Anolis sagrei: one gene and its partners. The protein of the gene in region 3 purifies or fractionates together with the protein of the main gene of each other region. This does not show direct contact. Links are inferred from orthologs where the notes say so. Each region holds a gene or a part of one and is shown on either strand. Other genes may lie near its edges. The genes, in order: PRRC2C, GRAMD1B, CSNK2A2 and OSBPL8.

Region 1 (7,593 bases), on a different chromosome or scaffold from region 3:
AAATCTTCATACACCTTGAAGTGAGCTCTTACCTTGAGTGCCCTGCCCTGTCTCAGTCAGGACCCTTCCACACAGCCATATAATTAAGAATATCAAGGCAGATAACCCACAATATCTGCTTTGAACTGAGTTATCTGAGTCCACACTGCCATATAACCCAGTTCAATATGGATTTTATACAGCTGTGTGGAAGGGGCCTGGATTATATGGCAGTGTAGATCTGGCCTCAGATAATTTAGTTCAAACCAGATAACGTGGATGACCTGCCTTGAAATTCTGGATTATATGGCAGTGTGGACTCAGATAACCCAGTCCAAAGCAGATACTGGGCCCATCCATCCAGCAGTATATCCCAGAATATCAAGAGAGAAAATCCCACATTATCTGAGGGCCCTTTGGACCCCTCCACACAGCTCTATATCCCAGAATATCAAAGCAGAAATTCCCACATTATCTGAATAAATAAATAAAATGGACTCAGATAACCCAGTTCAAAGCAGATGTTGTGAGATGCTCTGTCTTTATATTCTGGGATATAGGGCTGTGTGGAAGAGCTCACTGTATATTATCTACCTTGATATTCTGGGATATATGACTATGGGCCCTTCCACACAGTCCTATATACCAACTGGGTTATCTGAGTCCACACTCAGATAATGTGGGATTATCTACCTTGATATTCTGGGATATAGGGCTGTGTGGATGGGCCCTGAGTGTGGACTCAGATAACCCAGTTCAAAGGAGATATTGTGGGATTTTCTGTCTTGATATTCTGAGATATAAGGGCCACTGTGGATTATCTATCTTGATATTCTGGGTTATATGACTATGGGCCCTTCCACACAGCCCTATATACCAACTGGGTTATCTGAGTCCACACTCAGATAATGTGGGATTATCTACCTTGATATTCTGGGATATAGGGATGCGTGGATGGGCCCCAAGTGTAGACCCAAATAACCCAGTTCAAAGGAGATATTGTGGGATTTTCTTTCTTGATATTCTGAGATATAGGGCCCACTGTGGATTATCTACTTTGATATTCTAAATTATATGCCTATGGGCCCTTCCACACAGCCCTATAACCCAACTGGGTCATCTGAGTCCATACTCAGATGATGTGGGATTTTCTGCCTTTATATTCTGAGATATAGGGCTGTGTGAAAGGGCCCACTGTGAATTATCTACCTTGATATTCTGGGTTATATGCCTATGGGCCCTTCCACACAGCCCTACATCCCAACTGGGTCATCTGAGTCCATATTCAGATAATATGGGATTTTCTGCCTTGATATTCTGGGATATAGGGCTGTGCGGATGCCCCCCCCCCCCCCCCGAGTGTTAACCCAGTTCAAAGGAATTGTGGGATTTTCTGTCTTGATATTCTGAGCTATAGGGCCCACTGTGGATTATCTACCTTGATATTCTGGGTTATATACCTATGGGCCCTTCCACACAGCCCTACATCCCAACTGGGTCATCTGAGGCCATACTCAAATAATGTGGGATTTTTTGCCTTGATATTCTCAGATATAGGGTTGTGTGGAAGGGCCCACTGTGAATTATCTACCTTGATATTCTGGGTTATATGCCTATGGGCCCTTCCACACAGCCCTACATCCCAACTGGGTCATCTGAGTCCATACTCAGCTAATGTGGGATTTTCTATCTTGATATTCTGAGCTAATGTGGGATTTTCTATCTTGATATTCTGAGATATAGGGTTGTGTGGAAGAGCCCACTGTGGATTTTCTACTTTGATATTCTGGGTTATATGCCTATGGGCCCTTCCACACAGCACTATATTCCAACTGGGTTATCTGAGTCCATACTCAGATGTCGGATTTTCTGCCTTGATATCCCAACTGGGTTATCTGAGGCGATACTCAGATAATGTGGGATTTTCTGCCTTGATATTTTAGGATATTGGGCTATGAGGAAAGGCCCACCGTGGATTATCTACTTTGATATTCTGGATTATATGCCAATGGGCCCTTCCACACAGTACTATATCCCAACTGGGTCATCTGAGTCCATACTCAGACAGAGTTGTGTGGAAGGGCCCACTGTGGATTATCTACCTTGATATTCTGGGTTATATGCCTATGGGCCCTTCCACACAGCCCTATATTCCAACTGGGTTATCTGAGGCCATACTCAGATAATGTGGGATTTTCTATCTTGATATAGGGCTGTGTGGATGGGCCCTGAGTGTGGACTCAGATAACCCAGTTCAAAGGATATATTGTGGGATTTTCTGCCTTGATATTCTGGCATATCGGGCTGTGTGGATGGGCCCTGAGTGTGGACTCAGATAACCCAGTTCAAAGGATATATTGTGGGATTTTCTGCCTTGATATTATGGCATATAGGGCTGTGTGGAAAGGCACCCAGATTCAAGGAACCTGGAGGGAAAAATGCCGGAAGTTAAGAAAATGGAGGAGTCGAAAGCAATAAAGGAATATATAGTAATGGCAGAAGCTGGGAGACAAAAAACGGTGCATGGATGCTCAGAGAAAGCGCCAGGTATTGTTTTCTTCTGTAATTGCTTTTGCAAACTTTCGGCCTCACTCATCCTATTCTTTTTTGCCCCGGCCTACTGCCCAACAAAGCCGTTATAGCCGAGAACGGGAAAGCCCGTTTATTAGTCGTCGGAGCGGGCGAGAGAGGCCCTTGAAAGCCGAGGAGGGGGAAGCCAGGACCCCCTCCCGGCTGCCCATCCTTCTTTCCTTCCCCACCACCACGTTCCCAACCCCGGCCAGGCCCCCACCTAAGGCCGCCCGACAGCCTGTGGTGCGGCCTTCACAACCGGGAGGCGTAAGGCCTACCCAAGCCGGGTCCTGTCGTAGGCCTTCCCTAGCACCCCCCTTGCCGTGGTCCCTGTGGAACGCCGCCTCCAGAATACACTCACCCAGGCCAAAGGAACCGAGACCTTCCACACCGAGCGGGCCAAGATGGCGGGCGGATAGCCAAGCCGGCGGCACCTACTGCCGTCTGACGTCAACACGCACGCAGGCGCCGTGCACCACGTGACCGGGACTACCGCTACGTTCTAGAGGAAGTGGGCGGGGGGAGAACATAGCGGCCTTGCAGCGGACTTCCTTCAATTGCGGCCCTCCAGCTGTTCAGGCCTCCAACTCCCAGAAGCCCTAGCCAGCTTGTACAATGGTCAGGAATTCTGGGAATTGGAGGCCCAAACAGCTTTTAGTTGTAGGGAGGGTGGCTGCAAAGGGAAAGAGTGGCTCAAACTGTCAGCTGGATTGAGAGCTGATAGAGACCACATTGTCAGCCTCTAAACCAGTGGTTCTCAACCTGTGGGTCCCCAGGTGTTTTGGCCTACAAGTCCCAGAAATCCCAGCCAGTTTACCAGCTGTTAGGATTTCTGGGAATTGTAAGCCAAAACACCTGGGGACCCACAGGTTGAGAACCACTGCTCTAAACTAGCTGGCGACTTCATTATGGTTTAACCCATTAGTTAATATGATACTGTGAACCTATGATACTGTGAACCACCGCCTCCTCCTGAGAAAAATGTATAATATCACAAAGGACTACCACCTCACCCGCCTCATAGGAAACCTGCTACAAAACAGGAGCTTTTTTGTTGAGGTCCAGGGCCAGAGAAGCAGATGGCGGAAACAGAAGAGCGGCCTGCCTCAGGGGAGTGTGCTTGCTCCATCCATGTTCAACATCTACACAAATGACCAGCCACTGGCAGAAGGGACAGAGAGTTTCATCTATGCTGATAATCGTGCCATTACTGCTCAAGCATGGAGCTTTGACATGGTAGAACAGAAGCTTTCCGAAGCTCTAGGACAGTAGTTCTCAACCTGTGGATCCCCAGGTGTTTTGGCCTACAACTCCCAGAAATCCCAGCCAGTTTAGCAGCTGTTGGGCTTTCTGGGAGTTGAAGGCCAAAACATCTGGGGACTCACAGGTTGAGAACTTGCTCTCACTGCCTATTACAGGGAAAACCAGCTGATCCCCAACCCATCTAAAACACAGACATGTGCCTTTCATCTCAAGAACAGACAAGCATCCCGAGCTCTGAGGATCACCTGGGAAGGAATCCACTGGAGCATTGCAGCACACCCAAATACCTGGGAGTCACTCTGGACCGTGCTCATACCTACAAGAAGCACTGCCTGAACATCAAGCAAAAAGTGGGTGCTAGAAACAATATCATACGAAAGCTGACTGGCACAACCTGGGGATCACAACTAGATACAGTGAAGACATCTGCCCTTGCGCTGTGCTATTCTGCTGCTGAGTATGCATGCCCAGTGTGGAACACATCTCACCACACTAAAACAGTGGATGTGGCTCTGAATGAGACATGCCGCATTATCACGGGGTGCCTGCACCCTATACCACTGGAGAAATGACACTGCTTAGCCGGTATTGCACCACCTGATATCCGCCGGGAAGTAGCAGCCAATAGTGAAAGGACCAAGGCAGAGACATCTCCAGCTCATCCCGTTTGGGTATCAGCCAGCACGTCAACGACTTAAATCTAAAAATAGTTTTCTAAGATGTATAGAGACACTCGCTGGAACACCTCAGCAAGCGAGAGTCCAAAAGTGGAAGGCTCAAACCCAGAACCTCAACCAATGGCTGATACCAAATGAGAAACTCCCCCCTGGGCACACAGAAGACTGGGTGACTTGGAAGGCGCTGAACAGACTGCTCTCTGGCACCACAAGATGCAGAGCCAACCTTCAGAAATGGTGCTACAAAGTGGAATCCTCGACATGCGAGTGTGGAGAAGAGCAAACCACTGACCACCTGCTGCGATGCAACCTGAGCCCTGCTACATGCACCATGGAGGACCTTCTTGCAGCAACACCAGAAGCACTCCAAGTGGCCAGATACTGGTCAAAGGACATTTAATCAGCTACCAAACTCACAATTTTCGTATTTTGTCTGTTTTTTGTTTTTTTTGGGTTTTTTGCTTTGTTCTGTTAGAAATGTAATATAATCGACTGGTTGCACAGACACGATAAATAAAAAAAATTAAAAAACCATGAGTGGCCACCAAAAAAAAAAGTTGGCCTTTTGCTTGCCATCCATGCCTTGCCTCTCTCTAATTTACCTTAGCGGTGCCCACTAGGCACCAAAATTATATACCCAGAATGAAAATATCCAGCATGCCAGGAGAAGGCTGGGAGAAAGAGGAATCCCTCTACTCTTTATGAAGTACTAGATGTAGTCATTCCAGGCACTAAGGGTATCTCACCTCCAATTTGGTGCCTGGAAGTTGTACTCTCGGAAAATGTACTCTCAGCCTTCTCTTCTGCAGGCTAAACATGCCCAGCTCTTTAAACCGCTCCTCATAGGGCTTGTTCTCCAGATCCTTGATCATTTTAGTCTTCCTCTTCTGGACACAACTCCCTTAAATTGCGGTACCAGAATTGGACACAGTATTCCAGATGTAGTCTGACCAAGGCAGAATAGAGGAGTAGCATGCCATCCCTGGATCAACTACTCCTATTTATGCAGGCCAAAATCCCATTGGCTTTTTTAACTGCCGCATCACATTGTTAGCTTGAAGACTTCAGATGTCTATGCCACAAAAAGGAGTATTTATCTTTGTACTAGAACAGAAAATCGTAAATATTGTGCCTTATGATTCTGTTGTTCTATCTAGATTGCATTTCTAGGGTAGTGGTAAGCGGTAATGCAGTCAAATAATAATAATAATGCTGCAAATAGACTAATTTGCATGGCAAGTGCACATGGCCAGGCTTTAGCACTTGATCTGAAGGACCTGGTGATAAAAAGTAACATTTTGTTATACTTAAAATGTAAACAATTTATCATTTCAATTCACAAAATTACTTATGTGATAAAACATTTGAGAAAGATCATAGAAGATGGTACATTATTGCAATATAAAATCAATGTCGTAATGTAAAGTTGTGTGCTTTCCCTTTTTTCTACAAGACATTTATTTTTAAAAATGGTAGTTAATAATTTGGGGGCGGGGTGGTGGTGGGGAGAACAAGCACTTATCTTTGTCTAGGGCATAAATAGTCTGGCATTAGCACCGTGTGGATTGTAGGCAGCTCATGGTGGAAGTAAAATAATATTTAACACATATATGATTAAAGAGTGAATTAAAAGCAAAATGCATCCAGCCTCTACTTTTCTTTTGATGTTTATTTTGCTGGCCAAACTTAAAATACCCTTTTTAATATGCTGGGGGCACTGTTGAGAAGGTTTGTCATTCTCCTTTTTTCCACTGTTTTGTTGTTCATGCATGCTCAGTAATGAATTCTGGAGGCAGCCGCTCTAGTATCCCATTCTCCTGTTAGAAATTAATTGCATTGTTTGCTATTTACTACTGCAACCTGATATTAAAGGTCTGTGTTTCTCCAGCCCTCCTTTACCACCCTATCAAAGATGCTGCTGCTAAAGGACTTCCAGCCAGGAAGAAAAGGGAGGACTGGAGTGGGTTAGAATTATTGCTTTAGTTAACATCTTTCTCTCTGTGTGTGTGTGTGTGTGTGTGTGTGTGTGGAGAGAGAGAGAGAGAGGGCATGGTATAGTGGTTTGAAGATTGGATTGTGACTCAAGACTAGGGTTCGGGTCCCCGCCTGTGTGGGGCTTGACGAATGCAAGGCTGGGGTAAAAATTGCTGGAAGAAAAATTAACAACCTTAGATATGCAGATGATACCACTTTGATGGTAGAAAGCGAGAAGGAGCTAAGGAACATTCTAATCAAGGTGAAAGAAGAAAGGGCAAAAATCTGGGTTGCAGCTAAACATCAAAAGAACCAGGATTATGGCAACAAGAATGGTTGACAACTAGGAAATAGAGGGAGAAAACATGGAGGCAGTGACAGACTTTGTATTTCTAGGTGTAAAGATTACTGCAGACACAGACTGCAGCCAGGAAATCAGGAGACGCTTACTTCTTGGGAGGAGAGCAATGGCCAATCACAATAAAATAGTGAAAAGTAGAGACATCACACTGGCAACGAAGATCCGCATAGTTAAAGCAATGGTATTCCCCATAGTCACCTATGGATGTGAGAGCGGGACCATAGGGAAGGCTGAGGAAGATAAATGTTTTTGAATTGTGGTGTTGGAGGAAAGTTCTGAGAGTGTTTTGGACCACGAGAAGATCCAACCAGTCCATACTTCAGGGAAAAAAAGCCCGACTGCTCATTGGAAGGAAGGATAGTAGAGGCAAATATGAAGTACTTTGGCCACATCGTGAGAAGACAGGAAAGCTTAGAGAAGACAATGATGCTGGGGAAAATGGAAGAAAAAAGGAAGAGGGGCCGACCAAGGGCAAGATGGATGGATGGTATCCTTGAAGTGACTGGCTTGACCTTGAAGGAGCTGGGGGTCGTGACAACCGACAGGGGTCTCTGGCGTGGACTGGTCCATGAGATCACGAAGAGTCGGAAACAACTGAACGAATTAACAACATATTGATAGCAGCTAGGTATGACTGTGAGTTTCATGATGTGATACCTAAGGAGGTTTGGTAATGGCTGAGTCATAACCATGTGATGGTTATTTCAAAAGGATTGCATCAACCAGTGATTCTTACTGATCACCTATCACAGCTGGCTATATAAGGAG
Region 2 (7,142 bases), on a different chromosome or scaffold from region 3:
CAGATTCAAACCTCTGACCTGTGGGTTTTTAGTCCTGCTGGCACAAAGGTTTAACCCAAGCGTCCTCAAACCTTTTAAACAGAGGGCGAGGTCACAGTCCCTCAAACTGTTGTAGGGCCGGATAACAATTTGAAAAGAACATGAATGGATTCCTGTGCACACTGCACCTATCTTATTTGTAATGCAAAAAACACTTAATACAATAATTAAAATGAAGAACAATTTTAACCAATATAAACTTATTCGTATTTCAATGGGAAGTGTGGGCCTGCTTTTGGCTAATGAGATAGGGTTGTTGTTGTTGCTGTTGTTGTGTGCTTTCAAGTCATTTCAGACTTAGGTTGGCCCTAAGCGAGGGCCGGGTAAATGATCTTGGAGGGCTGTATCCGGCCCCCGGGCCTTAGTTTGAGGACCCCTGGTTTAACCCATTGAACCACCGCAATTCAATTGCAGTAACTGATTAACTGCTTAGTTGCAAACCGTGAGGTTTCATTTGGACTTTTGACAAAGCAACCATGTGTTTTCTTCATTGAACATCCTCTAAATATTGTATAGTGTGCTAATTGTGATCTCAATTACTTCTGAGCAAACATAATGAATATTGAATTGTCTTATCATCATGAATGTCACTTGATATAAATGCCAACCATGGTTAAGAATTACATGCATTTCAGAGTAAACAGCATCACGAACTAAACAGATATTTCCCAGCCAGATATATCTCAATGAAATATATTTTACTCAGCTCTCAAGGTTTGTTTGGGGTTTTTTGCAGACTTCCAGTTCAACATAAACAATAGAGACCTATATAAACCAAACAATTCTGTAAGTTATTTAACCATGTGATCTGTGAATACAGCATTCTGGTCCAGTAGAGCCAGGTGTGACTCTATGGCCAATTGCCCATTTTTCATCATGATTTTCACATCTCAATGTTACACTACACATGACCAAAGACTTATTTCTCCTTCTCTGGCTATGATTTAATAAATGGGCAATAAATGGTGGTACAAACTAGCGTATCAGAAACATACAGCATCTTGAAAATTTCCAATAACAATTGTACTTCAAGCCTATCTCTCATTTTCCTTACAATCTGTCTAGAGCAGTGTTTCTCAACCTGGGGGTCGGGACCCCTGGGAGGGTCACAAGGGGGTGTCAGAGGGGTCGCCAAAGACCATCAGAAAACACTATTTTCTGTTGGTCACAGGAGTTCTGAGTGAGAAGTTTGGCCCAATTCTCTCATTGGTGGGACTCAGAATGCTATTTGATTGTAGGAGAGAACTATAAATCCCAACAAATACAACTCCCAAAAGTCAAGGTCTATTTTCCCCAAACTCCACCAGTGTTAACATTTGGGCATATTGAGTACCCATGCCAAGTTTGGTCCAGATCCATCATTGTTTGAGTCCACAGTGCTCTCTGGATGTAGGTGAACCACAACTCCCAAACTCAAGATCAGTTGCCACCAGACCCTTACAGTATTTTCTGTGTGTCATGGGAGTTCTGTGTGCCAAGTTTGGTTCAGTTCCATCATTGGTGAAGTTCAGAATGCTCTTTGATTGCAGGTGAACTATAAATCCCAGCAACTACAACTCCCAAGTGACAAAATCAATCCCCCCAACTTCTTCAGTATTCAAATTTGGCCATATCAGGCATTTGTGCCAAATTTGGTCCAGTGAATGAAAATTCATCCTGTATATCAGGCATTTACATGGCGAGTCATAATAATAGGAAAATGACAGTTATGAAGTAGTAATGAAAATAATGTTATGGTTGGCGGTCAACACAACATGAGGAACCGTATTAAGGGGTCGCAGCATTAGGAAGGTTGAGAACCACTGGTCTAGAGATACAAATTTGGTCTCTGAGATCAAGGACTAAGAAATCAGTGCCAAATGGGCATCAAGTTGCCATCTCTCTTCATCTGGTTTAACCAGCAGAGGGAGACAGAAACAAGATAGGACATGCACAGGAAGTTGCAGGAAGCAAGAGGAAACCCATTGCTCCTGCTCCTCAAGGATTTCCCCATGGGCAATGGGAAAGGTGAAAGAGATGACCCACCTGCTCTCACTGTACTCCTTCTTCTCCCTGACATTCAGCCACTTGCGGAGCAGGAAGCGCTTGCGTCGCGGAGAGGCGCTGGGTGTGGAACAGTTCGACCAGGGGGTGTCCTCATCACTAGAAGGGGTGATTTCAATGGAGGGAAGTTGTAGGAAATCCTTATTTGAGGAAGGTGCGGCCTCCAGGCTCTGCTCGTGAATGTTCCTCGTGCGCCGCATCCTGAACCGCCTTCGGCGAAAGGTTGGCGTTGATGAGCTGGACCAGGCTCGGGCACACTCCACCTCCTGCTGCTCTGGGACTTGCAGTGCAGGGAGTTGAAGGGTTTCAGTCATCTTGGCAGTTGGCATCAGCTCCTGTGTCACTTCTCCTCCCACTTTCATTTACTCCAAGGCGCCCTCCTTCTCACCCCCTCCCCACCGTGGTCTCAGTGCAAGCCACACCAAAGAATCAAAATCCGCCTTGCTGCCTTCTCACCCAGCTTGGCATCTTCCCTCCCTCGCCAGTCGGAAATCTCATATTCCTCAGGTGGTTTCATTTAACAAGGAAGAGCCTCAAGGCCACCAGCAGAGCCAGCTCCAATGTGTTCTTGAGTTTCTACCCAAGTCCAGTGACCTTAAGAGAGAACTTTCTTCCTCCACATGTGGCTCCTTCAAAACACCATCAGGGACAAAAGCTGAGTTGCCAACCACCGGCTTCCCTTTGCTCTGCTTTGCCGTGCTTCCAGAAGTGTTTTCTTGCCTCCTTGTGTGGTGGATCAACGCCTTCTCCAGGGCTCAGCTGAAAAACTCTCATCTGTACAGCACTTCGGAGTGACTGAATGGAAAGTGAGGAGGAGCTGTGAGAAAGTCAGAGAAAAAGAAATGGGGGTGGGGGAAGAGAGAGAAAGACAGACACAGAGCCAGGGACAGGAGGAAGGAAACCGTGACATAGAATACAACCGAGAAAGAAGAAGGGATTGGGAGGAGAGAGAGATTCTCCCCACTTCCAGCAACTGATAAGCTCCGGCAGCTGCTGACAGTGTAACCATACTCTTAACTCAAGGGACAAGGTCTCTGTTACTGAATGTGCTTTTGCTCCAATCAGCCAGAGGAAAAAGACGGAGAAGGCGGGGGGGGGGGGGGGGGGATGAAAACAAACCTTTCATACAAGGTGATTGGTTGGGCTCACCCTCCATGTCACATTTCCATGCTCAGTGTCCCACCCTGCAAAGGGAGGGGGAAGTAGGTGACCTCTAGGCATAGTTGTTGTGAGTTGTTTTGCTGAATGCTTTCTAATTCAAGTCACACACAGTGGAAGAAGGAAAGACACATAAGACAGGTGATTTCAAGGAGACAATCAGCTGGAACGTCACCATCATTATCATCATCATCATCATCATCATCATCATCATCATCATCATCATGGACACCTTTCAAATCGCCATTTATCACACCAAACATAATCAGAAGTGAAACCTGAAGCAAAGTGAATGATACTTTTTTTCCAGCTGAATTGAGCACCAGTTTCTTCAACCGACAAAGTGTTAATGAACCCGCAGGACCTTCCTTTTTGTTTCTGACACAATCCTAGAATGCATTTCCATGGAAAAGAAATGATAAGGAGCAAAAGAGGAAGTGACTTCTGGGTACGGAGCTGCTTCCAAAATGACATGCTTTTGGTACAGAGATTCCAGTTAAGAAAGACTCACAGACTGCATGCAGAGACACATACACAATCATATCAGATCAAACAGCGTGAGAAAGTCTTACAAGCAGCACAAGAGGGGAACGATTCAACAATAACCTCACCTCCCTACAAAGGAGAAGTAAAGAAATGCCACTATGTTGAAAAACAAAAAGTGCTAATGATCAAGGGCTGAAGAAAAAGGTATCTTTTGGTAGCTTCATTTCACTTTCCTTGTAGTCGCTGAAGAATTGTGACCATGGATGAGACAAGCAAATGCTTTGCCATGCTAATCAACAGCAGGCGACAAGATGAGCACTCTTTATTTTTATGCTCGGTTCTATCCATATCCTACTTATCTTATGGACTCAGCTATGCCACCTTTCCTCTTTTACAAAGACTCATTAGCAATGTATTTTAATGTGATCAAGCCTTCTTGGTGGCCCCCTGACACATGCTGTCTTAGCAGCTGGTGCACCATGCTCCTTTTAGATGCTCCTCTCGCTTCCCTAATTGCCATTTCGCAGTCAGAAGCCACCTGTGCAACTTGCTCCCTGCCCACAATTTATTAATGAAAAAGTCATTATAACTATCACAAGAGAAGAAGCCAACAGCTTCTAAGAAAGGACTCTCATGTGCCCCACAGAAGAAAACAATAGAATCAGATTTATAAACATAAAGAAACCAAGTGTTTCCAGGAAAGTCAACTAAAAATATAGGATGTAACCTCCTGCATGGAAAACGCTTACAAGTGGCACCAGTTTTCCAAATATTGACCCAGTTTGAAGTTTCCAGCACCAATGTTTTAATTTATTTATTTATTTAGTATTTATTTACTATATTTGTATACCACCTTTCTCAGCCCATAGGCGACTCAGGGTGGTTAATGGCAAAATTCAATGCTCACAATGTCATAAATACAATTAAAAACATAACATATAATAAAAACTAAACAAATCAATAAAATATAAATTCATAGTGTCTCCTTGTTAAAAATGTTGTCCGGACATTGTCTAGTTGTTCCATTTTCCTGTGCAAATGCTTGTTCAAAAAGCCACATCTTGACTTTTTTCCGGAATGTTAAAAGGGAGGTGGCCAATCTAATATCTATAGAAAGGGCATCCACAGCTGAGGGGCCTCCACCGAGAAGGCCCTGTCTCTCATCTCTGCCAAACGTACTTGTGACAAAAGCAGGGCCTTCCCAGACGATCTCAAGGTCCTAGATGGTTCATAAGGGAGATGCGTTCGGACATGTAAGTTCGGCCAGAACCGTTTAGGGCAGTGGTTCTCAACCTGGGGTCTCCAGATGTTTTGGGCCTACAACTCCCAGAAATCCCAGCTATTTTACCAGCTGTTAAGATTTCTGGGAGTTGTAAGCCAAAAACATCTGGGGACCCCAGGTTGAGAACCACTGGTTTAGGGCTTTATAGGCTAAAGCCAGCACTTTGAATAGTGCCCAGTAGCAAACTGGCAGCCAGTGGAGGTAGCGTAATAGAAGAGTTGTACACTCCCTGAGCGCTGCTCCTGTTAGCAATCTGGTTGCCGTTCGTTGGACCGTTTGAAGCTTCCGGGCAGTCTTCAAAGGCAACCCCACATAGAGTGTGTTGCAGTAGTCTATACCGGATGTAACCAGACTACATGTAGTACATGTCAACTGAAAACAGAGAGGAAAATAATGAATACAGGTTACTACTTAACACAGGGATGGGCATATCTAGAGGGCTTCATCATCCAGCTTTCAGCATCTCCAGACTTTTGAAGGTCTGTGGGGTGCTGTTGTGGCCCCCATTCTGGTCAACTAGAAATTATATTGTGTCATTCCTGGTCACTTTGGGGGACTTTTCTGGGTAAGTGTCATGTTATTTTGAAATGGTGAGCTCCCCTGCCCCAAATTAGCATTTCAAATAGCATTGGAAATGGCAGAGGTGATTTGGTTTGGAGAGGTAACAATGAGAGATTGGCTGAAAAGAGATAAGGCATTGGAAGTCCCAAAAACTCCACTGGACTTGCCTTCCTTTGGGTTTGGCCCACATGATCCTTCTTTTAACTAATGGATTTTAACGGCATGACGACATTTTGGTCTCTGATACCCAAAAAGATGTGACAGTCTTCGTTTGCTGAGTGCGTGCCTGAGGAACATGAATATTATACAGCAAGGCAACTATCATGGTGTTTTATAATCATGCAGCTTTGTTACTGTTTTCATTGCAAAGTGCCTTGAGTATCAAACATGTTGTTGTGTGCTTCCAAGTAGTTTCCAAATGTGGCAACCTTAAGGAAAAGCTTTAATGGGTGTTTCTCAGCAAGATGTGTTCAAGTGGAATTTGCCCTTGCCTTTGTCTCAGGTTAAGACAATGTGACCTGCCCAAAATCACTCAGTGGGTGTCCATGGCCGAGCGGGGATTCGAACACTGGTTTCTCAAGACATAATCCACTGCACAGGGCACTGGCTTTGCTATGTAAACCTCCACAAACTTTTACATAAAATAAAAATATTCCACAACCTGAGGAAATCCACATTTTGTAAAAGGTGTAGTACTTGATCCCCAAGATGTTATACAAACAGTTCCTTGGCACCCAAAGCTTTCTAAGTAGATTTTCTCATTACCAGGCAACATATCCTTATGTCATAATATTCTTCTGTGTCACTTTTCAATTTTGGTCAGAGGACACTGGGCACCTGTTAGATGCTCTTTGAAACACAAGAACTCTGTAACAAGAGAGATACAACAGTGTGCCTAGCCATAAGGTTTGAAAAGTACTAGCTATTGAAAAGAGTTGTTGCTCTGGACAAACGACAAAAAAGAATTGGTTTCACTACAAACATTGGTCTTTCCTCCACTTATATAGTATGGCTTAGTTCAAGCTAATATTCCTGGCTACAGTGAGATTGATATAAGCGTAGACATAATAATAATAATAATAATAATAATAATAATAATAATATTTATTTATACCCCGCCACCCAAGGGGACTCGGGGCGGCTTACATGAGGCCACACCCATCAATACCGAAACACAATATAACACAAAAACACAACAGAAAATCAGAAAATAAAATAACATAAAATACAAAAATACAAAATGTAAATATACAGCACAACAATATAAAATCAAAACATTAAACCACTAAAAATGAACACAATGGGCAAGACCAGTACAAAAATTAAAATTTTAAAACACTGGGAGATAAGGCAGTGTACAATATCAGGAAGGGTATCCGGGGGATAAGGTAAAAGTTCATTGCACAAACCAGAAAATAAAGTGCTTCTGAGGACATTTTATGCAGAGTTTGGTCAGGGATTATATCACACATTCAGTCATTGAAGGCACATTTGAACAGCCAAGTTTTCAGGCTCCTCCTAAAGATTTCCAGGGTGGGGGCATGCCTAATATCTCTGGGAAGCGAATTCCAGA
Region 3 (7,784 bases):
GTTATGTAGATACGGGTATGTACATAGAAATAGATACAGATTGATTGATAGATATAGATATAGATCAGACCTGGGCCACCTTGGGCCCTCCCTCCAGGTGTTTTGGACTTCACCTCGTACTGGCTTTTAGGAATGGTGGGAGTTGGGAGTCCAAAACACCTGGAGGCAGGGCCCAAATTGGCCCAGGCCTGAGATAGATAGATATGGTCAGATAGCGATACAGATATAGTTATAGCTATAGTTACATAGAAACAGACAAATAGATATAGATAAAGAAATAGTTATAGCTAGAGATGTAGGTCCAGATATAATTACAGCTATACTTATATAGATACACATACATAGTTATAGATAGAGGTGTAGATCAGGGCTGGGCCAACTTGGGCCCTCCCTCAGGTGTTTTGGTCTTCAACTCCTACTGGCTGTTAGGAATGATGGGAGTTGGAGTCCTAAACACCTGGAGGGAGGGAGGGAGGGCCCAAATTGGCCCAGGCCTGAGATAGATATAGATATATAGATACAGATAGAGCTATAGCCTGGCCCTCCCACCCACCCCCCAGGGGATTTGGAGTTCAACTCCCATCATTCCTAAGAGGTGGAGTCCAAAACCACTGGAGGGAGGGAGGCCTGAGAGAGATAGAGTTGTATCCCAGGCCTGGCCCACCCTCCCTCCAGGGGTTTTGGACTCCAACTCCCATCATTATATAGATACAGATACAAATAGATAGAGATGCAGATCAGGCGTGGGCCACCTTGGGCCCTCCGTCCCTTCAGGTGATTTGGAGTTCAACTCCCACCATTCCTAACAGGTGCAGGCATCGGAGTCCAAACCACCCAGAGATGGTGGCAGGTTATAAATAAATATTATTATTATTATTATTATTATTATTATTATTATTATATACAGATAGCTAGAGATGTAGATCAGGCCTGGGTCACCTTCGGCCCTCCCTCAGGTGTTTTGCTCTTCAACTCCTATCGCTGTTAGGAATGGTGGGAGTTGGAGTCCAAACCAGCAGGAAGGACGGAGGGCCCAAGATGGCCCAGGCCTCAGATAGATAACTATAGTCAGAGATATAGATACAGGCACACAGAGATAGATAAATATAGATGTAGATCAGTACTGGGCCACCTTGAGCCCTCCCTCCCTATCTCCAGGTGTTTTGGACTTCAACTCCCACCATTCCTAAAAAGTGGGAGTTGTAGTCCAAACTAGAGGGAGGGACGGAGGGTCCAAGATGGCCCAGGCCTGAGATATAGTCAGATATATACAGATATATGTTGTTGTTGTTTGTATATACAAATATAGCTATAGTTTTGGACTTCAACTCCCACCATTCCTAAAAAGTGGGAGTTGTAGTCCAAACTAGCAGGAGGGAGGGAGGGCCAAAGTGGGCCCAAACCTGAGATAGATATAGATAGATTGTTGTTCTTGTTTGTATATACAGATATAGCTATAGTTTTGGACTTCAACTCCCACCATTCCTAAAAAGTGGGAGTTGTAGTCCAACCACCAGGAGGGAAGGTGGGCCCAAGATGGCCCAGGCCTGAGATAGATAGATAGATATAGACAGATATATACAGATATTTGTTGTTGTTGTTGTTTGTATATACAGATATAGCTATAGTTTTGGACACCAACTCCCACCATTCCTAAAAAGTGGGATTTGTAGTCCAAACCACCAGGAGGGAGGGCCCAAGATGGCCCAGGATTGAGATATAGTCAGATATATACAGATATTTGTTGTTGTTTGTATATACAGATATAGTTTTGGACTTCAACTCCCACCATTCCTAAAAAGTGTCCCAGGCCTGATAGATATAGACAGATAGATACAGATATTTGTTGTTGTTTGTATATACAGATATAGCTGTAGTTTTGGACTTCAGCACCCACCATTCCTAAAAAGTGGGAGTTGTAGTCCAGGCCCGAGATAGAGATATCCAGATATTTGTTGTTGTTTGTATATATAGATGTACCTATTGTGATATAGATACAGGTACACAGAGAGAGATACCAATGGAGATGCAGCTCAGGCCTGGCGCTCCCACCCACCCACCCACCCTTCAGGTGATTTGGACTTCAACTCCCATCATTCCTAAGTCCAAAACCACTGGAGGGAGGGAGGTCTGAGATAGACACAGACAGAAATATCCAGATATTTGTTATTGTTTGTATATACAGATATAGCTATTGTGATATAGATACAGGTACATAGAGAGAGATACCAATGGAGATGCAGCTCAGGCCTGGCCCTCCCACCCACCCACCTTTCAGGTGATTTGGAGTTCAACTCCCATCATTCCTAAGAGGTTGGAGTCCAAAACCACTGGAGGGAGGGAGGGAGGCCTGAAATAGATAGATAGTTGTATCCCAGGCCTGGCCCACCTTGAGCCCTCCCCCCCCCCCTCCAGGGGGTTTGGACTCCAACTCCCATCATTCCTCACAGCCTCAGGCCCTTTCCTTTTCCCCCTCAGCCGCTTAAGCGGCTGAGGGGGAAAAGGAAGGGGCCTGAGGCTGTGAGGAATGATAGGAGTTGTAGTCCAAACCCCCTGGAAGGCGGGAGGAAGGGCCCAAGGTGGCCTAGGCCTGGGATGGATGGCGTGGTTCGCTTACCCCCAGGCGGGGAGGTGGGCCTCGTAGTCCCAGTACTCTCGGCTGCGGAGGCTGTTGACCTCGGCGTAGACGCGGGCGCGGCTCCCTGCGGCGGGGCCCGGCATGGCGGCCGAGGAGGAGGAGGCGGAGGCGGCGGAAGGCCTGAGGAGGAAGGGCCGGGCGTGCGAGGCGTGCGAGGCGGGCGCCCACCTGAGGAAGGCCCGGAGCGGGAACGGGAGCGGACCGGCCGCGGGGAAGAGCGGCGCCAGGGCCAGGCCCGAGGGGGGAAGCGAGGAGGAGGAGGAGGAGGCGAAGGCGGCGTGGCGCCCACCGGCCCCGAGAAAGTCCGCCGGCACAGGCCGGGGAGGGACGGGGAAGGGCTTCCGGCGCGCAGGCGCAACAGAGGCCCAGCCCACAGGAGAGGAAGTCGCGTCACGGAGACAGGCAGGAAGAGGCGGGGCCGGAAATGAGATAGTCACGTGACAAGTCCGGGAAAGCGGATACTACTCCCAATCAGGGCTAGAGAGGGTCACGTGAAGAAGAGGGCGGGGCCAAAGGGAGTGACGTACTCAAGGGGGCGGGGCCTGAAGCGGCCTCTTGTAATCAGGGAGTGACGTAGGCAACGGGGCGGGGCCTGAAGCAGCCTCTCTGATGACAAGAGGCCGCTTCTGGCCCCGCCTCTTTGCCTACGCCACTCCCTGATTAGTGGCGTAGGCGAAGAGGCGGGGCCAGAAGCGGCCTCTTGTCATCAGGGAGTGACGTAGCCAAAGGGGTGGGGCCAGAGACGGTGTCTTGTAATCAGGGAGTGGCGTAGCTAAAGGGGGCGTGGCCTGAAGCGGCCTCTTGTCATCAGGGAGAGACGTAGAGAAAGGGGCGGGGCCAGAAGCGGCCTCTTGTCATCAGGGAGTGACGTAGCAAAAGGGGTGGGGCCAGAGACGGTGTCTTGTAATCAGGGAGTGGCGTAGCTAAAGGGGGCGTGGCCTGAAGCGGCCTCTTGTAAACAGGGAGTGACGTAGGGCAAAGGGGCGGGGCCGGTAGCGGACCCTTGTAATCAGAGTGACGTAAAAAAGAGGGCGGGGCTAGAAACGGCTTCTTGTAGTCAAGGAGTGACGTAGGCAAGGGGCGGGGCCAGAAGCAGGCCCTTGTAATCAGGGAGGGGACAAAAGAGAAGGACTCCAATCCAAAGCTAGGGAAAGTCACGTGATGGGGTAGGCGTGGCCGGTTGCGAGAGAAGCTCCTCCTTATTAAAATGCACATAAGAGGGCGTGGCTAGAAGTGAGGCAAAGCGGGCTTTAGACTAAGGGATCACGTGATGGAGTAGGCGGGGCCATAAGTCAGGAAAGCTCCTCCTCATTAATAATTCACATTGAGAGGGCGCGGCTAGAAATGAGGCAAAGCAGCGTTTTCTACTTAAAGGGAGTCACGTGACAGAATAGGCGTGGCCTGTTGCGAGGGAAGCTCCCCCTCCTTATTAAAATTCACTTGGGAGGGCGTGGCGAGAACTGAGGAAAGTTGGCCTTTCTACTTAATAGCGTCACGTGACGGTGTAGGCGTGGCCGATTGCGAGGGAAGCCCCTCCTCCTTATTAAAATTCGCATGCGAGGGCGTGGCTAGAAGTGAGGCAAAGCAGCCTTTTCTACTGAAGGGAGTCCCGTGACAGAGTAGGCGGGGCCATAGCTGAGGGAAGCTCCTCCTTATTAAAAATGTACATGAGTGGGCGTGGCTAGAAGTGAGGCAAAGCGGCCTATCTAGTGAAGGGAGTCACGTGACGGAGTGGGCGGGGCCTTAAGTGAAGGAAGCCCCTCCTCCTTATTAAAATTTACGCGAGAGGGCGTGGCTAGAAGTGAGGAAAAGCCGACTTTAGCCTAAGAGAGTCACGTGACAGAGTAGCCGGGGCCATAAGTGAGGAAAAGCGACCTTCCTACTGAAGGGAATCACGTGACGGAGTAGGCGGGGCCATAAGTAAAGGAAACTCCTGCTTATTAAAATTCACTTGAGGGGGCGTGGCCAGAAGTGAGGAAAAGCGGCCTTTCTACTGAAGGGAGTCACGTGACAGAGTAGGCGTGGCCATAGCTGAGGGAAAGCTGAGGCTGCCACTCCCATCCGGGTCCTAGGGGAAATAGGCGGGGCCAGAAGAGAAGGGAAGTGAGGGGGCGTGGCCGGAAGTGAGGGAGTTCGGCGCCTCAGCAACCACAACAACAGCAACCACCACCACCCCAAGAAGGCCATTCTCCTCCTCGTCGCCATGGATTCGTCCTCGTCTCCGGTCTCTCTGCGCGGCCTGGTCGTGATGGCGGACGAGGACTCGGAGCGGGAGAGCGTGCAGGCCGGGGAGTCGCGGGAACTGGGCGAGGAGCTCCGCCGCGACCTCAGCCAGATCTCCCTCGTCAGCCTCGCCGCCGCCATCCAGCAGACCAGGTCCGCCCACTCGGGGAAGACACCCCAGGACAAGCCTCCTTTCTTAGGCCTTTGGCCTGCCACTCCCGCCATCCCTCACCGCCTCACGACACTTCCTTTCCCCCCTCAGCCGAATAAACAACCACATGATATTCCCCCTTCCCCGGTGCCACCCCCACTAGTGATCATAATAATAATAATAAACTTTCTTTGTATACAGCTCTATCTCCCTGAGGGATACTCAGGCCGGTTTCCAAGTAACATCCCCAAAACATACAGCGTAAACATATATTTATAATATTATTGCTGTGGCCCTCATGGGGGTTCTGTGTGGGAGGTTTGGCCAAATTCCATCCTTGGTGGGGTTCAGAATGCTCTTTGATTGTAGGTGAACTATAAATCCCAGCAACTACAACTCCCAAATGTCAAGATTCTATTTTCTCCAAACTCCATCTGTGTTCACATTTGGGCATATGGAGTATTTGAGTATTTATGCAAAATTTGGTCCAGATCCATCATTTTTGAGTTCACAGTGATCTTTTATTATTATTATTAAACTTTATTTGTACCCCGCTAGCATCTCCCAAAGGACTCAATGCAGCTTACACAGGCCAAGGCCTCAACAACAACAACAAACAATAACAATACGATGCAAAGCAAATTAAAAACATAAGCAATAACGAAAACAAAACATTACACAATAAAACCAGGGCCGGGCCAGTGATGGGTACAGATTAAAAAGTGCTGGGTGTGAAAGGTGATATATTGGGATTCTGGGCAAGGGCAATGTGCAGAGAGTCTTAAACTCTAATAAAGTGCTTCTGGGACATAGTGCTGGAGGTTATCCTTTTCTGGGAAGGCACATCAGAATCTCTGGATGTAGGTGAACTACAACTCCAAAACCAAAGGACACTACACACCAATCCCTTCCAGTATTTTCTGTTGGTCATGGGAGAGCTGTGTGCCAAGTTTGGTTCAATTCCATCATTGGTGGGGTTCAGAATGCTCTTTGATTGTAGGTGGACTATTGTTGTCTGAGTAGCATAATCCTCCAGGGTGTGTCCGTAGGTGACTATGGAGCCCTATTCTTGATCTGCATCTTCTCCCGCAGTGAGGGCATCGGTTTCCAGGTAGAAGGAGGTCCCAGTTGGGCTTGGCTTGACACGCCTTCCTCTTGGCACGTTTCTCTCTTTCACCCTCCATTCGTTCCTCTTTAAATTCTGCAGCACTGCTGGTCACAGCTGACCTCCAGCTGGAGCACTCATGGTCCAAGGCTTCCCAGTTCTCAGTGTCTATGCCAGAGTTTTGAAGGTTGGCTTTGAGCCCATCTTTAAATCTCTTTTCCTGTCCTCCAACATTCCATTTTCACCTTGTAAAGAACGTATCAATGCCACCAAAAATATGTAAAGAAGTCTTTATCTCACCGAATGGCACCAAAAATGTAAGAAAGTTCCTAGAATGTTAAATTAAACTGCCACCAATAAGTTTAGAGACGCTGGTCTTAAAGTCTCTGTTTATCCCTATTTACGTTGTGAGGTAACTTTGGTAGAGTGGAATGCACCGAACATAAAATCAATGGAGGAGGCAGGTTTAAAATACAAAGAGAACAAGTTTATTATTAACAAAGCGTAATTGTTGCAATATTGAGATGTTGAACTTGACACATGCTTGATGGTTACAATATGGCTTGGTCGAGATACATTCAGGCTTCTGATGTTACAATCTTATAAACTCCTTCTTCAGTGAAGTGCTTTATTATTTCAGTGTTCCCTATTGTGAATATTCACACTGTTTGTCCTATACCGGATCAAACCACTGATCTCCAGTCTTCCACTACTGGCGATCCTAAAACCCCCTCTGTTAGATTCTTTTTAACTCAAGCAATCTAACGAGGTTTCCCTTCAGCTCCCTTGCTGAAGAAATATTCACAAATACTAAGAACTAACTGAATTTACACCGCTTCACACCACAGAGCCCTAACTGACTCTGCCCTCTTCTCAGGGTCTCATCCTCCTGACTGAAAATTAACTGTCACTTTCAAACCTTTTTCTCCTTAAGCTCCGCCCACCTCCTCTTCTTGCCTTGTCACCATGGCAACCTATCTCTCACAGCTAGGACATGGCAACCAATGTAAAACATAAATACAGTTTAAACACATTATAAATAACACTTTATAATAAACATTATAAATACAGTTTAAACACATTATAAATAACACTTTATAATAAACATATCTCTACACACCTCTGCAGGAGTCTACCGTGTACCATGCAGCTGTGGACAAGTCTACATAGGGACTACCAAACGCAGTGCCCAGACACGCATCAAGGAACATGAAAGGCACTGCAAACTACTCCAACCAGAGAAATCAGCCATAGCAGAGCACCTGATGAACCAACCTGGACACAGCATATTATTTGAGAACGCAGAAGTGCTGGACCATTCTCACAACCACCATGTCAGACTACACAGAGAAGCCATTGAAATCCACAAGCATGTGGACAATTTCAACAGAAAGGAACAAACCATGAAAATGAACAAAATTTGGCTACCAGTATTAAAAAACTCAAAAATTACAGCAGCAAAACAACAGAGGGGGAAAAAAAACAGGCACATGAAATCACTCTCAACAAAAGATTCTCCCCAGGTGCTTCCAAGCCATTGAATGCTAATCAAGGTGATCAGCTGAAACATTCACATCTAGCCCCAGGAAACAAAAGTCCTTTGTCTCACCCTGGTCATTCCACAGATATATAAACCCATTTTTCCCAGTTCCAACAGACCTCACTCC
Region 4 (7,421 bases), on a different chromosome or scaffold from region 3:
ATATCTCATGATGCACATATATGGAAACAGTACTCTCAGTTAACTGGCACCCATGGGGATTGGTAGATGCTGGGTGAATGTATCTTCAGGTTGCTTGAGAGTTACTATTAAAATGGGCTTAATTAATCCTATACCTGATACTATACCATAAATTCTGTATTGACTTGATATTAATACTGAAATAGTCATTAAAAGAGAAATAAAAACAAATTGAACTCAATGTTCCTGTTTTAATGTATTATAAAAAAAATTAAAAGTATTATATCTTTGAATTTTGTTGCCATTTGCTTGAGAGTGCCGGCTGCTTGAGTTCCAGTTAACTGACGGTCCTTCCATAGCACCATATATCCCAGAATATCAAGGCAGGCAATCCCACAATATCTGCTTTGAACTGGGTTACTGGAGTCCACACTGCCACATAGTAAGGTAAAGGTTTTCCCCTGACATGAAATCTAGTCATGTCCGACTCTGGGGGTTGGTGCTCATCTCCAACACTAAGCCGAAGAGCCGGCGTTGTCCGTAGACTCCTCCAAGGTCATGTGGCATGAAGCACTGTTACCTTCCCACAGAATCAGTACCTATTCTAGCCAACCTAGCATGTTTTTGAACTGCTAGGTTGTCAGAAGCTGAAGCTAACAGCGGGACCTTTTGATCAACAAGCTCAGTGGTTTAACCCACTGTGCCACTGGGGGCTCCACACTGCCATATATTCCAGTTCAAAGCCAATAATGTGAGACCTAACCGGTTTGGGACTCGCCTACCTCCATGACTGCATCTCCTACCACCAACCTGCATGATCTCTCCGATCCACCAGGGACACTCTCCTCTTGCCTCTTGCTCTATCACAGGCAAGACTAGTGGGAATGAGAGAGAGAGCCTTCTCCGCTGTGGCTCCCTGTCCTTGGAACTCACTATCTGATGAGATTAGGCAAACCCCCTCCTTAGCAGACTTCAAGAAAAATCTGACAACCTGGCTTTTCCGATGTGCCTTTGGAGAGTGGCCACCCATCCCATTTGTGTTGCCCCATCTATAGTGTTGCCCCTATGATGCACTTTTCCCCATTCCAAACTGAAAGCCTTACCCCACTGTTTTATTTTCTCCCCTCACTTACATATCTCCTATTCCTACCTCACACAGGGTTTTATCACTTTATCTTGTCTGTTTGGCCTACCCATCCTGTTCGATTTAATATTGTGTGAATTTGCTTTATTATTTCATTTTGTTATTGTAATTTATTTTCTGATGCATTTTGTTTTTTGTATTCTGTACTTTACTGTGCTGTATTGTATTTTTAAAGGGCTTGGCCTCATGTTAGCCGCGCCGAGTCCCCACTGGGGAGATGGTGACAGGGTATAAATAAAGATTATTATTATTATTATTATTATTATCATTATTATTTTATTCAGCTGTGTGGAAGGGGCCTGAGAGTCTGCTGTACAAAGAATACCTAAAACCATACTCCAAAGGATTTCTAGACTGAAGAAGTTTCAAATGCCTTCACATCTGGCGCACCTTTTGCTAAAGGAAAGCCGTGTTTTGTTTAGTATCTTGCTGAGAGGAGATATGATAGCCATGTATAAATATGTGAGAGGAAGCCACAGGGAGGAGGGAGCAAGCTTGTTTTCTGCTTCCCTGGAGACTAGGACGCAGAACAATGGCTTCAAACCACAAGAAAGGAGATTCCATCTGAACACGAGGAAGAACTTCCTGACTGTGAGAGCTGTTCAGCAGTGGAACTCTCTGCCCTGGAGTGTGGTGGAGGCTCCTTCTTTGGAAGCTTTTAAACAGAGGCTGGATGGCCATCTGTCAGGGGTGATTTGAATGCAATATTCCTGCTTCTTGGCAGGGGGTTGGACTGGATGGCCCATGAGGTCTCTTCCAACTCTTTGATTCTATGTGTACAGTACCTCTTAATCAGTTCAGAATGTAGATTGCTATATCCCAGGCATGGGCAAACTTGGACCCTCCCTCTAGGTGTTTTGGACTTCAACTCCCACCATTCCTAACAGCCTCAAGCCCATTCCTTTTCTCCCTAAGCCACTTAAGAGGCTGTTAGGAATGGTGGGAGTTGAAGTCCAAAACACCTAGAAGGAGGGCCCAAGTTTGCCCATGCCTGGGATATAGCAGTCTACATTCCGGTCTGATTAAGAGATACTGTACACAACTTACTTACTTAGGCGATCCCTCGCTTTCCGAGGATGATTGTCTTCCAATATTCTTGTGGGTCCGTATGTGGCTGTGGAGCCCTATTCTTGCTCTGCATCCTCTTCCGCAGTGAGGGCATTGGTTTCCAGGTGGAAGGCGGTCTCTGCCGGGGTTGGCTTGACGCACCTTCCTCTTGGCACGCTTCTCCCTTTCGCCCTCCATTCGTGCCTCCTCAAATTCTGCAGCACTGCTGGTCACAGCTGGCCTCCAGCTGGAGCGGTCAAGGGCCAGGTTGTACACAACAAGACCCTAAACAAAACACGGCTTTCCTTTGGCCAAAGGTGCGCCAGATGTGAAGCCATTAGAAACTCTTCAGTTCAGTAATGCAGCAGCACGAGGAGCCTCTGTCATTGGGGTGGGTGATTATTATGATGGTGATGCTCAAGGCTCCCAGAAGTGAGAGGCAGGCATAAGCCCAAGGTCACGCCACGCAGCCAGGCTCCCGACCACCACAGAGAGAGAGAGGGAAGGAAGGAAGGAGGGAGGCCCATGAGGGAGGCTTTTCCCCGGCTGCCCCCTCCCGCCCCACCCCTTCCTTCGCATCCCTCCCCAGAGCCAGCGGGACGACAACGAGGCGAGGCTCCCTTCTCCCTTGCTTCGTTTCCCTCTTACCTCCTCCTCACCCGATCCGGGCCTTGAGCTGCCGCCTCCAGAAAGAGCCACGGCCGAAGCGACGAGATGCTCGAGGTTCAAAGAGGAGAAAAAAAAAGGAAAGGAAAACTAGAGTTGCCGAGAAAGGCTCGGGACCCTCAATTGCGCACGCGCGCCGCTCGCGCCGGCTGGAAAGCAAGCCGCGCACGCGCACATACACACACACACACACCCCGCGCGCGCGCACCCCTCTTCTTTTTTTTTGTTGTTGTTGCAGACTCGAGCGCGCACGCGCGACTCACGACAAAAATGGAAAGGAGGGGGAATAGAGAGAGAGAGAGAGAGAGGGCAACCGCAGCCACGCCCTTGGGAGGCCTCACGTGACTGGGGGCATCCTTCGTACGGAGGGAAGTAGGCTCTCAGGCGTCGCCCCTGGGCTCTCCGGAAGGCTTCTGATTGGTCCAGCCCTTCTCTCGCGCTGGCTCTCTTCGCCCCGCCCCTTTCCTTTCAGTTTCTGTGGAAAGGCGCCTTGCCAACCACTGCATAAACCCAGCAGCTGTCACTTTGCCACCCTCTTCACACACACACACACATTGTTTTGATATGAGGATATTTCAGGAGGAGCAAAACATTCAAGGCTCCTGGTTCAAGAATAAAGAGGCAATGCCAAGGCCCCTTCTGCACTGCCACATAATCCAGTTCAAAGCAGATAATCTGGATTTTATATGCCTATGGCCCCTTCCACACAGCTGAATAAAATCCCACAATCCCCTGCATCGCCTCTCACTTAAGGTCGGGTTTGCCTATGATGAAGGCTGTGGCTGTTTCTTTTTTCTTTTCACACTCCTTTCATTAGCTATCTTCCTTTTAAAAAGGTAAAGGTAGTCCCCTGACATTAAGTCCAGTCATGTCTGACTCTGGGGTGTGGTGCTCATCTCCATTTCTAAGCCGAAGAGCCAGCGTTGTCCGTAGATACCTCCAAGGTCATGTGGCCAGCATGACTGCATGGAGCGCCGTTACCTTCCCGCCGGAGCGGTACCTATTGATCTACTGACATTTGCATGTTTTCGAACTGCTAGGTTGGCAGAAGCTAGGGCTGACAGCGGAAGCTCACGCCGCTCCCCGGAATCGAACCTGCGACCTTTCAGTCAACAAGCTCATCAGCTTAGTGCTTTAACCCACTGCGCCACCGGGGGCTCCTCTATATTCCTTTACAGACACCTTATTGCAGGGGTCCTCAAACTACGGCCCAAGGGCTGGATACGGCCCTCCAAGGTCATTTACCCGGCCCTCGCTCAGGGTCAACCTAAGTCTGAAATGACTTGAAAGCACACAAGAATAACAACAATCCTATCTCATCAGCCAAAAGCAGACCCACGCTTCCCACTGAAATACTAATAAGCTTAAAGGTAAAGGTAAAGGTAGTCCCCTGACATTAAGTCCAGTCATGTCTGACTCTGTGGTGTGGTGCTCATCTCCATTTCTAAGCCGAAGAGCTGGCGTTGTCCATAGACATCTTCAAGGTCATGTGGCCAGCATGACTGCATGGAGCACTGTTACCTTCCCGCCGGAGCGGTACCTATTGATCTACTCACATTTGCATGTTTTCAAACTGCTAGGTTGGCAGACACTAGGGTTGACAGCGGAAACTCACACCACTCCCTGGAATCAAAGCTGGGACCTTTCAGTCCACAAGCTCAGCAGCTCAGCACTTTAACTCACTGCGCCACTGGGGGCTCCCACTAATAAGCTTATATTTGTTTAAATTGTTCTTCATTTTAATTATTGTATTGTTTTTAAGTGTTTTTGAACTACAAATAAGATTTGTGCAGTGTGCATAGGAATTCATGTTTTTTTTCCAAATTATAATCTTGCCCTCCAACAGTTTGAGGGACTGTGACCTGGCCCTCTGTTTAAAAAGTTTGAGGATGCCTGCCTTATTGGATGCACTAATCCAAACATACAGAAACTCACTTTCAAATTAGTCACAGTTTATTTTCATGTTCAAAGGATGCTCACAACATCATATCAACTATATTTTGTCCCAATAAAGCAGTGATTATTACATTTCCAAGAAACAAAATACTGTATTGATGACATCCCATCTTCTAATTGGCTCCACCTCAAATGGTAAATGTACGTATTCAATACCTAGTCATTAAGAGTACAAGCATAGGGGGCATCTCCACCATTGATGCAATGCTATGGATTCCTGAGACTTATGGTTATACAAGATCTTTAGCCTTCTCTGCCTGCAGCAAGTTGCTTGGGAAGGAATCCCACTGGAGCACTGCAGCACACCAAAATATCTGGGAGTTACTCTGGATCGTGCTCTGACTTTGAAGAAGCATTGCTTGAATATCAAGAAAAAGAGGGTCCCAGAAATAATATCATACGAAAGCTGACTGGGGATCACAACCAGACAGTGAAGACATCTGCCTTTGCTCTTTGCTACTCTGCTGCTGAATACGCGTGGCCAGTGTGGAATACATTTCACTACGTTAAAAGAATAGATGTGGCTCCTAATGAGATATGCTGCATTATCACAGGATGTCTATGGCCTACACTACTGGAGAAATTATACTTTTTAGCCGATATTGCACTACCTGACATCTGTCGGGAAGTAGCAGCCTGTAATGAAAGGACCAAGGCATTGACATCTCAGACCCATCCTCTGTTTGGATACCAGACAGCATGCCAACGCCCTAAATCAAGAAATAGCTTCCTACGATCCACAGAGATACTCGCAGGAATACCTCAGCAAGCAAGAGTCCAAAAGTAGCAAGTTAAAACCTGGAACCTCAATCAATGACTGATACCGGATGAGAAACTCCCCCCTGGGCACACAGAAGGCTGGGCAACTTGGAAGGCGTTGAACCGACTGCGCTCTGGCACCGTGAGATGCAGAGCCAATCTTAAGAAATGGGGCTCCAAAGTGGAGTCCACGACATGTGAATGTGAAGAAGACCACTTACTACAATGCAGTTTGAGTCCTGCCACATGCACAATGGAGGACCTTCTTATAGCAACACCAGAGGCACTCCAAGTGGGCAGCTTCTGGTCAAAGGAAATTTAGTATAATGCCTAGTCTTTTAAACTTTGTTTGTGGTTTTGCTATACATTATAACTTTTCTCAATTTGTTTCTGACACAACAAGTAAAAAGCCTTCTCTGCCAAAAAGTGTGGATGCCACGCCAAACTACAACTCTAATTATTCCACAGCATTGTGTCCTGGCAGTTAAAGTGGTGGTAAACTGCATTAATTTGACAGTGTAGATGCACCCATAGTCTGATCTCATCAAACTTACATAGCCGATGTTCACAATGCCTTAACTATTAAGCTATGCAAACCGTTAAAGGAAAAAACCAATTTGCTACACTCAAAAAAGCATTATCAGGTTTGTGACAGGAGACGGGATGATTTGAGCAGAGCAGTTAGAGAGAGCGAAAATAGCTGCTCAGAGAGGTATCTGGATAAAACAGAAAGCAGCCAGTTATCAGCTGTTTTCAGCTGTGTACCTTAAGTAACAATCAGCTGGACAGTTTGTACAGTTTGTAGCTGTGCTGGCTGTTTCAAAGTGTTGAAATAATTGTTTGTGCCAAATGCATTTATCAGGAAGTTAGAACCCGCATTGAAGGAGCAGAGATAAGGAGGAGGAGATAAAGAACAATATTGTGCAACTCTTCTATCATGTGTTGGTTGAGCATTCCTTTTCTGAAATGCTTGGGACTGGAAGTATTTTGCATTTTGGAATACCTTATATTGTATCAGGATTTGTGGTCCTAAAAGTAGTAGAAGTTGAGTATCCCTTACCCAAAATGCTAGGGAATAGAAGTGTTTTGGGTTTCAGATTTTTTTTGATGTTGGACTATACATAATGAGATATCTTGGCGATGGGACGCAAGTCTAATTGCAAAATTCATTGATGCTGCAACATATATACTTACACATATAGCCTGAAACTGCCTTGGACCACAAGAAGATCAAACCAGTTCATACTTTAAGAAATAAAGCCCGGCTGCTCACTGGAGGGAAGGATATTAGAGGCAAAGATGAAGTACTTTGGCCACATAATGAGAAGACAGGAAAGCTTGGAGAAGCTGTGGAAAGCTTGATGTTGTGGAAAATGGAAAGAAAAAGGAAGAGGGGCCGACCAAAGACAAGATGGATGGATGGTATCCTTGAAGTGGTCGACTTGACCTTGAAGGAGCTGGGGGTGGCCATGGCCAACAAGGAGCTCTGGCATGGGCTGGTCCATGAGGTCACGAAGAGTCGGAAGCGACTGAATGAATAAACAACACAACAACGAATGGCCTGAAGGTCATTTTATACATGTATTAAAATATTTATTTATTTATTTATTTACTGTATTTGTATACCACCTTTTTCAGCCCATAGGTGACAAGGCGGTTTACAGGACAAAAATTCAATGTCCACAATACCATAAATACAATTAAAAACATTAACATATAATAAAAATCATAACAAAATCAATAGAACATAAATCCACAGTGTCTCCTTGTTAAAAACATTGTCCGGTCCCATCGTCTAGTCCCGTGATGGTGAACCTATGACACGTGTGTCAGCACTGACACGCCTGGCTATTTTTGATGACACATACAG

What was found.
Region 1: the proteins of CSNK2A2 (region 3) and PRRC2C purify together in Homo sapiens (affinity purification with mass spectrometry; 3 studies listed by BioGRID and IntAct, with this or other methods). This does not show direct contact. The link is inferred for Anolis sagrei from reciprocal best matches to the Homo sapiens genes CSNK2A2 and PRRC2C.
Region 2: the proteins of CSNK2A2 (region 3) and GRAMD1B purify together in Homo sapiens (affinity purification with mass spectrometry; 3 studies listed by BioGRID and IntAct, with this or other methods). This does not show direct contact. The link is inferred for Anolis sagrei from reciprocal best matches to the Homo sapiens genes CSNK2A2 and GRAMD1B.
Region 4: the proteins of CSNK2A2 (region 3) and OSBPL8 purify together in Homo sapiens (affinity purification with mass spectrometry; 4 studies listed by BioGRID and IntAct, with this or other methods). This does not show direct contact. The link is inferred for Anolis sagrei from reciprocal best matches to the Homo sapiens genes CSNK2A2 and OSBPL8.

What each region holds. Positions count from the first base shown.
Region 1 is NC_090024.1:130,660,647-130,668,239, forward strand, and holds the start of PRRC2C (protein PRRC2C), read right to left. Parts: upstream 3,013-7,593; 5' UTR 2,912-3,012; intron 1-2,911. UniProt on the Homo sapiens protein: Required for efficient formation of stress granules.
Region 2 is NC_090027.1:35,190,214-35,197,355, forward strand, and holds the start of GRAMD1B (protein Aster-B), read right to left. Parts: upstream 3,020-7,142; 5' UTR 2,445-3,019; coding exon 2,065-2,444; intron 1-2,064. UniProt on the Homo sapiens protein: Cholesterol transporter that mediates non-vesicular transport of cholesterol from the plasma membrane (PM) to the endoplasmic reticulum (ER).
Region 3 is NC_090028.1:1,403,542-1,411,325, forward strand, and holds the start of CSNK2A2 (casein kinase II subunit alpha'), read right to left. Parts: upstream 3,017-7,784; 5' UTR 2,722-3,016; coding exon 2,618-2,721; intron 1-2,617. Other genes in the region: CFAP263 (cilia- and flagella-associated protein 263), read left to right, coding at 4,842-5,014.
Region 4 is NC_090025.1:146,618,755-146,626,175, forward strand, and holds the start of OSBPL8 (oxysterol-binding protein-related protein 8), read right to left. Parts: upstream 3,021-7,421; 5' UTR 2,830-3,020; exon of another isoform or gene 2,819-2,829; intron 1-2,818. UniProt on the Homo sapiens protein: Lipid transporter involved in lipid countertransport between the endoplasmic reticulum and the plasma membrane: specifically exchanges phosphatidylserine with phosphatidylinositol 4-phosphate (PI4P), delivering phosphatidylserine to the plasma membrane in exchange for PI4P, which is degraded by the SAC1/SACM1L phosphatase in the endoplasmic reticulum.